Xenopus tropicalis: one gene and its partner. The protein of the gene in region 1 purifies or fractionates together with the protein of each later gene. This does not show direct contact. Links are inferred from orthologs where the notes say so. Each region holds a gene or a part of one and is shown on either strand. Other genes may lie near its edges.

What was found. Proteins that work in one complex are often made in the same cells at the same time.
Region 2: the proteins of dtx3 (region 1) and rnf114 purify together in Homo sapiens (affinity purification with mass spectrometry; 3 studies listed by BioGRID and IntAct, counting the BioPlex papers as one, with this or other methods). This does not show direct contact. The link is inferred for Xenopus tropicalis from reciprocal best matches to the Homo sapiens genes DTX3 and RNF114.

Annotation. Positions count from the first base shown.
Region 1 is NC_030678.2:140,822,472-140,826,804, forward strand, and holds part of dtx3 (probable E3 ubiquitin-protein ligase DTX3), read left to right. Parts: intron 1-3,058; coding exon 3,059-3,276; intron 3,277-4,333. UniProt on the Homo sapiens protein: Regulator of Notch signaling, a signaling pathway involved in cell-cell communications that regulates a broad spectrum of cell-fate determinations.
Region 2 is NC_030686.2:36,177,606-36,182,232, reverse strand, and holds part of rnf114 (E3 ubiquitin-protein ligase RNF114), read right to left. Parts: intron 3,711-4,627; coding exon 3,560-3,710; intron 957-3,559; coding exon 850-956; intron 731-849; coding exon 616-730; intron 1-615. UniProt on the Homo sapiens protein: E3 ubiquitin-protein ligase that promotes the ubiquitination of various substrates. In turn, participates in the regulation of many biological processes including cell cycle, apoptosis, osteoclastogenesis as well as innate or adaptive immunity.

The DNA of each region.
Region 1 (4,333 bases):
CCAAGCTATTCAAACACAAAAGCTAGGGGTTATGCATTCAGTATGTAGAAAACATTAGGTAATCTGTGGTCCTGTCTTCACGTATTGCCTTTTGATTGCTGCCATTAATACAGAATACTAATTCAAGCAGCTGTTTGCAGGCACCTTAGAATATTGTTGTGTATCTACGTGACCACAGGCCTAGGTGCAGAACTTACACCTGCTCCCCTACCTAGAATGTACACACACCTCCTGCCCTTCTGGTATGTACACCAGTGTAGCATATCAGTTGCTCATAATAGAACACGTTTGTAGCATTCCCAACCAAATAGATATGCCAAATGATAGGACAGGCATTTTTCATCAGCCTGAGAGGACATCTCACATTGTACTGCAAAGTAAAACTGATCAACCTACTTGCTCAAAAGTATATATATCATCAGTTCTTACATGTATTTCTAGTATAAAATGAGACATGTTTATTGCAGCACTAGGCAGTTGGAAAATGTTAACGAATAAATCAGCAACATGAGAAATTAATTATTTAGAGTTTGTATCTGTGTATATCATGTTGAGGGTCTTTACTAAACTCACTGGGACATCTAATAAGGAAACCAGCTCATCAACCATCAATCAACAGCATTAGAGATAATTTGGTGTGGCAGTAACAAAGCTGACCTCTAACAAGCATATTTTCAAATAAGTAATCAGGGAATACACACGGGGGACTTTGTCTCACTGAATCACAGAATGTCGTACATACCCCTGTACTTGTCTGCGGCAGAGATGAGAATGGATGTCAGGGTCTTTGCTGGCCGTGCTGGATTTAGTATGTCAGAAATCTTGTTGTGCTTCATTGCCAGCGTATGAACCATTGTTTTGCAACACCACTGTATATTGGCTGATGTTCCTGCGGTCTGCTACTCAGGCAATCGAAGAAAAAGATTAGTGTGAAATAGCTGCCTGCAGGGACAGTCCGGCTCCACTCACACAGTAGATATACAGCAAAAAAGGCATTAAATTACTTTAAGGAGAGCGGCCAGTGCTGAATACAAAGGCAAAATGTTTTAGAACATCTAAAGGCACTGTCATTTTGCTTATCAGCCTACACCTGTTCTGATTTGAATAAGTGTGGTAATTGTTTAAAGGTTTCACGATTCATCAAATCTTCTCAACAATGAAATGGAGGCAAAGCTGAAAATGTTCATTTTAATTCCGTAAGAAAAAATTATACAGGCTTGTGTCAGAATTCCAGCCACAATCATCTGATTTTTTTTTAAAATGAAGGTTTCTTTTAGATTTGTTACCTACTTGCCCTTCACTTACAAAGCATACGTTCTGGAAAATGTATTAGGCCTGATTTACTTTACAGCTGGGAATTCCCCCAACCACAGGCAGTACCAGAAAGATTTATATCAATGACAAGATCTTCAGAAAACAAAGTCACAAGCATGAAATTGCTTTTAGCTGGAATGCTGATGTTAAAAAAAACTTTTCCAGTCATTCTCATGAACACTGACACATATGTGCTCTCTTTAGCGTATGTTTATGGGCATAATTGCGCAAGCTGTAGGTATCACCATTCAGGAGAAATTTGTGTTGGTTCCAATTTCACATAATAAAATCATTCATGAAGGCACTGCCTAGAATTACTGGCTGGATGTTTACAGTTTGTTGCAACATTCTCATTAGTTGGGAATAGTAACTCACACCAAATGTCTGTTTGTTCATTGCACCATTTAAGGGACCATAACTCTGTTGGAGCTGTTTGTAATCATTTCTCTTTCAGGCGCTTCCAAAATTTCACTTTTAAGAATTGGTGCCTTCTTTGTAAGTTGTCATCTTAGATTTCTAGGGCAAATCATTAAGTTAAGATGGAATATTGCATGCCAATGAATAACCATAGAGTTACACGAGCCAGCCAGAGGCCAAAGACCAGGGCAATTCAAACTTGGGTGGGCAACCTACTGATCATGTGTTCAAACATATTTTAGAGCTCATTGACAATGGAGGGGGCAAGGTGCAAAAAAATTATACAAAGAGCTATGTTTTAACCGCACGCTTCCTTGTGGTTCGCCTTATTGTGCTCCTGAAATGGACCGCAGAGAGCTGCGCCTCACTCATTGTCTAAGTTTTTAGCAATGCAGGGTACATCAGAAGCAGAATGTATAATAAAGTAGTAGAATTCTTAATTAATCAGATGAAAAAGTGGGACTGGCCAGACCGGGGATTACTTTGACATACAAAGTTGATAGTAAGTACAGGTATAGGACCTATTATCCAGAATGCTCAGGACCAAGGGTATTCCGGATAAGGGTTCTTTCCATAATTTGGATCTTCATACCTTAAGTCTACTAAAAATCAATAAAACATTAAATAAGCCCAATAGAATTTTTTGCATCCAGTAAGGATTAATTATTGTTGGGATCAAATACAAAGCACTGTTTTATTTTTAAATAGAAAAAAGAAATCAATTTTAAAAATCTGAATTATTAAAATGGAGTCTATGGGAGACAGGCTTACCATAATTCGGATCCCATACCTGTACCTTAAAAAAAAATACACACACACACAATAAGCATTTTGTGCCTCCCTATTGTTAATTTTATCTGTAAATGTATAGAGAAAGCTAGCACAGAACCAAAAAAAAAAAAACACCTTGCCTAGTGGTGGGAGAGGCCCTGGCCAGTAGATCTTTGTCCATTAATTGGCTAATGTAACTAAACATGTATGTGTGCTCTTGGCTTGATCCCAGGAGGCGGCCCTTAATTCTTAAAGGTGCAATTTTCTATTTAGGGTTACCCAATAGGACATACTGATAAAAAGTATATTTTTATGAAAATGATTTATTTAGATGAAGCAGGGTTTTACATATGAGCTGTCTTATGCAATATATTTTATAGAGACCTACATTGTTCGGGAGATATGGTAATATAGGTTCTTTTTATGTCCTGTTAATGAATAATGCTAACACATGATGGAATCTATAATTCCATATAAAAATTAGATCCCCTTTTCTGTCTGACGGACTGTGAGCAGCATAGAATGAATTTACCAATATATCATTTCTTTTCTGCAGTCAGAGCACCCCAACCCTGGAGTAAGGTATCCGGGAACAACACGTGTGGCTTACTTGCCTGATTGCCCTGAGGGAAACAAAGTTCTAACGCTATTTAAGAAAGCCTTTGACCAACGTCTGACCTTTACCATTGGGACTTCAATGACTACAGGGAGGCCCAATGTCATAACGTGGAATGATATTCACCACAAAACTAACTGCACAGGAGGACCACAGCTGTAAGAACCCTTTGGATCCATCACTAATTCCCTCTGCCTGTCATGTTAGCAACTGATCCAAATTTTTTAAAAAATTGTTGCAAAAAAAAAAAAAAAAAAAAACAAACATTTTTTTTTAGCTGAAGACAAATGTAGATACTATTATCTAAGGTGTTAATATACAGTGAAACCTCAATTTTACATCCCCTGATATTAAGTTTTCCTGTATTTTACATCATTGTACACATAGTAAACTTCCCTGATTTTACATTTTCCCGAATTTTGCACCATTATTTTCTGGTCCTCTTAAAAAAAACGTAAAAACATGACCAGCACACCAGGTCACATAAATATCTTCTTTTAATTCACCATGTGATCCAATACATGAATAAAAAGAAGATATTGATGTGACCTGGTGTGCTGGTCCTTCTTATAGGTATTTACATACAGTATTTTGACCTAGCACCCACTTATTGCACTGCTTTAGAGTACTGACACGCAATGCGACTATATATTTATATATATATATATATATATAGCAAGAGAATGAGCTGCACGCACCAGGACTTGGCAAAAATATAATAAGTTTATTTAAGAAAAGAGATCCAACGTTTCGAGCACTAACTGTGCTCTTCCTCAGGGTTTTTTCCCTGAGGAAGAGCACAGTTAGTGCTCGAAACGTTGGATCTCTTTTCTTAAATAAACTTATTATATTTTTGCCAAGTCCTGGTGTGTGCAGCTCATTCTCTTGCTTTATATTTTTTTTTTGCTAGCACCCTGGGCATTTGAATCTCAATAGGGTGTGCTCTGTTTGTTCTTGTTATATATATATGTTTATATATACAATGTTGGCTGGGGAGCCTGGGGACCACCAGGTCTGTCACTTTAGGGACCCCGACCTCCCCTCCCCCTGCGCACCCTGTGTTCCTCTTACTTGTGGCCATTATTATGTACAGGGGAGGAGTGCCCAAAGTTTCTCGCTCAGAGAAGGCCTGGGTTGATAAGAACATTATCGTTGAGAACATTATTGGTCATTTGTCTAACAGTTTGGGATAAGGATCAGCCAAAGTTATGGAGT
Region 2 (4,627 bases), on another chromosome or scaffold:
TCCAAAGCATCGAACTGAGCAAATTGAATGCAAATACATATACCAAACTGCAGAGCTGTTGTTTGATACCCACAGTGCAACACAAAAATAGAGTGATAAAATTTGCCTAAAAAAAAAATATGGTCAATTTTTGTGCCTTTTAAATTTTGCCTAATTAAAAACCTAATATTTCATTTATTCTTTTGTTATGGGGAAGGCTATATGATGATGACGATGATTATTATTATCAAGCTATTTAGCCCCTCATCTATTTACTTTCTGTCATGTCATTCCAACCAAAGCCTGGTTACTGGGTATGCGATACCTTAGCAACTGGACAGAAACTAATACAATTGTATATGGTTTGAGTGGATAAAACAAGGGTACCCCGAGATGTTTTATTGAAATGTTACTGCTTTGCAAGGCTGAGCCACTTCCTCTGACAATATGGACACTGGAGGTTAGCTTGTCAAAGCCACTGCCACAAACAAACACAATTATGCCGATATATAATGTACAGTAAACAAATGACAGCTAAATCTTATTCCATACTTGGGTATAAACAATTTTTCTTAAGACAGAGCCAAACGCGAGTGTTCCAGTAGCAGCAATACAATAGTCCCGTCATCAACTCACCACAGGCGTTGGATCGCTCATGTGAAACCTCTTGCAGTGATCCACTAATCCTTCCTGAGCAAGGTTCTGTTCCTGGCAGTAGGGGCAAGTAAAGGTGAAGCGGTTTGGGACATCACTGTGGGAAGGAAGATGAAGTACAATCATTTAAATGCCTTAAGATCTACATATGGAGGATAAAAAGGACGTATTGGAAAAGGAATGTTCTGGTCACTACTGTGTGGAAAACATACTCACCCAGTTTCCTGGGAGTGGCTCTTTTTGACAGCCTTAATTCCATTCATGACATATTTATCATATTTGGTACAGGCAGCGAAGTGTTCACGCATTTTTGAAAGTTTCACCTGCAGGTTGCAAGGAACCTAGGTCATTTCCTATAATAATAATAACACACCAGACACACAAGTACTTCTGCTATGCTGTTACTTTCAGTACCCAGAGATCCCCCTCAATCCCACAGCTATTTTTGGTTACAGAAATCGCATCTATTACTCTTCAGCCTCTGTATCTGTATGGAAAGCAAGAATTTCAGTCATAAAGCAGGGCAGGCCTGCTGCTTACAATGGGTATCAGATAGGATCTGTGCCACTGTGACAGAATGCTCTGTTATACAGATAGCTAGAATCTCAGCCATAAAGCAGGGCAGGACTGCTGCTTACAATGGGTATCAGATAGGATCTGTGCCACTGTGACAGAATGCTCTGTTATACAGATAGCTAGAACCTCAGCCATAAAGCAGGGCAGGACTGCTGCTTACAATGGGGGGATCAGATAGGATCTGTGCCACTGTGACAGAATGCTCTGTTATACAGATAGCTAGAATCTCAGCCATAAAGCAGGGCAGGACTGCTGCTTACAATGGGTATCAGATAGGATCTGTGCCACTGTGACATAATGCTCTGTTATACAGATAGCTACAATCTCAGCCATAAAGCAGGACAGGACTACTGCTTACAATGGGGATCAGATAGGATCTGTGCCACTGTGACAGAATGCTCTGTTATACAGATAGCTACAATCTCAGCCATAAAGCAGGACAGGACTACTGCTTACAATGGGGATCAGATAGGATCTGTGCCACTGTGACAGAATGCTCTGTTATACAGATAGCTAGAATCTCAGCCATAAAGCAGGGCAGGACTGCTGCTTACAATGGGTATCAGATAGGATCTGTGCCACTGTGACATAATGCTCTGTTATACAGATAGCTACAATCTCAGCCATAAAGCAGGACAGGACTGCTGCTTACAATGGGTATCAGATAGGATCTGTGCCACTGTGACAGAATGCTCTGTTATACAGATAGCTAGAATCTCAGCCATAAAGTAGGGCATGACTGCTGCTTATAATGGGTATCAGATGGGATCTGTGCCACCGTGACAGAATGCCAACTGCCGGTGGAAAGGCATTTCAAAGCAGTTTGTCGCCCACGGTAGCAGAGATCTATCACGGGCGACTAACTAGCTCTGCCTCCGTCTAAGGGCAGAATAATTCAAGCACCGTGGTAAAGTCATATGTGTGAAAGCTTTTTGCCTTAAATATAAATGAAATCTTATAAGCAAGGAACAACATTTGTCTGTTTTAAGATGGAAAGTCCTATTTTTTTTTTTTTTAAATAATAAGCTCTAAGCTGGGCTTTCCCTATCGGAAAAAGGAAATTGCTAACTATTGTGGGGAAATCCAAGGCTCCTGAGCCCTTTCACGTTTTAATTCAATACTATGTAATCAGTCACAGGTGGTGCAGGGGAATTTAATACCGACACTGCTGCTAAACTTGGCTGATGTCAGAGCATATGGGCACACACAGAGTGAAACCACATCAACATCTCAGCCTTAACCCTTGGCTGTCACCCTAAGGTTCATCTATGTATAGTGAAACCACAGCCGCTCCTCCCACTCACTGACATGATATCTACAACAACACATTATTTTGACTTTATAGGCCTCACTCAATCATAAGTGCCAGTATTTTAAAAAGCCAGTATAACCTCAGACTTCCTTGATTAATGTGTACAGGGGAATATCTATAATAATTATATATTGTCTCAGATAATATATATTATACAGACTAACTAAGGATCCTGCTCCAGCTGAATTGTGCTTAGTACAGGGGAATCCCTATGCTGCCATAGTTTTATGGTATCTCTCTGTACAGGCTATGAGCAAACTTAGGGGGCTGTTCCTGCTGAATTGTGCTTAGTACAGGGGAATCCCTATGCTGCCATAGTTTTATGGTATCTCTCTGTACAGGCTATGAGCAAACTTAGGGGGCTGTTCCTGCTGAATTGTGCTTAGTACAGGGGAATACATATGCTGCTATAGTTTTATGGTATATCTCTGTACAGGCTATGAGCAAACTTATGGGCTGTTCCTGCTAAATTGTGCTTAGTACAGGGGAATACATTTGCTGCTATAGTTTTATGGTATATCTCTGTACAGGCTATGAGCAAACTTATGGGCTGTTCCTGCTGAATTGTGCTTAGTACAGGGGAATCCCTATGCTGCCATAGTTTTATGGTATCTCTCTGTACAGGCTATGAGCAAACTAAGGGGGCTGTTCCTGCTTAATTGTGCTTAGTACAGGGGAATACCTATGCTGCCATAGTTTTATGGTATCTCTCTGTACAGGCTATGAGCAAACTTAGGGGCTGTTCCTGCTAAATTGTGCTTAGTACAGGGGAATACATATGCTGCTATAGTTTTATGGTATATCTCTGTACAGGCTATGAGCAAACTTATGGGCTGTTCCTGCTGAATTGTGCTTAGTACAGGGGAATCCCTATGCTGCCATAGTTTTATGGTATCTCTCTGTACAGGCTATGAGCAAACTAAGGGGGCTGTTCCTGCTTAATTGTGCTTAGTACAGGGGAATCCCTATGCTGCCATAGTTTTATGGTATCTCTCTGTACAGGCTATGAGCAAACATGGGAGGCTGCTGTTCACTTACTTTTTTATTGCAGCCTTTGCATGATGCCTCAATCTTTTCCATTTGATTTGTCAGATCAAAAGCGTTGCTTTCAGGTTTCAGCTTTCTCCGGCACACGCCGCACATTAAGTTCTTATTATGTGTGCACTGATGCAGACATGATGTACAGAATCTGGAGGAACATGGCAAAAAGCGGAAGGCTGTGATCCTGATTTTCTAATAAACAGATTATCAAGATATAATGCTTAAACTTCCTCTAGAAAAAAAAGGCAAAACGATCACCTTTGCTCCTTAATTCCATCACCTCTGTGTCAAGTAAAAGCAATAAAGGAAGGTGAAAATGTGGATCCCATTGTAATATGAAAGTTTTCTCACAAACCTTCCATATCAGTTGATGAACTATAAATTGCCTATGGGTGCAAAGTGCTCCCGGGATAATACAAGGCTTCACAGCTTGTGTAATATATTTTAGGAAATGTGCCCTTTGCATCCATGGTCCTGGGGAGGGTAGTAATTTACCGTTTATCAAATCAGAGAAAAAAAGCCATACAGCCAATCAAAATTATTTAGATGAAATTTCCCTTTAACCCATTAAGTGCTGCCTAACTTTCAGCAAGTGAGATCCTGCACTGAATACCCTGTATTCTGGCACTCAATGTCAATATAATACTGCACACGTAGATACTACAATCTACAGACCATGAAGGGTTAATCATTACAGAAGTCCACTGCTGTTCATGCCCCAAATTTCCATTTATATCACTTTGTGTCTCAGGATGTGGGTATATATGTGGTCAGACAGCTGTTCCTCACTAGGCCAAGACACACTGTCCGCCCACACATAAAACTGCGCCACTTCCTGAAACTCTGTGACTAGTTGACAGTTAAAGGGGATATAAACCCCCAAAAAACTGAAAAGTTAAATAAAATTCCACTATACAATCATTACATATTTTTACTGATTCTAAAGTGATTTGTATCCTTTACCCAGGTAGTATCACTTTTAACACAATGTAGCCGAAGCGGTTTGGCTAGTTTAGCTATGAAAAATACTGCACGGTTGCCTTCCGCTACATTGTTCCAACCAAA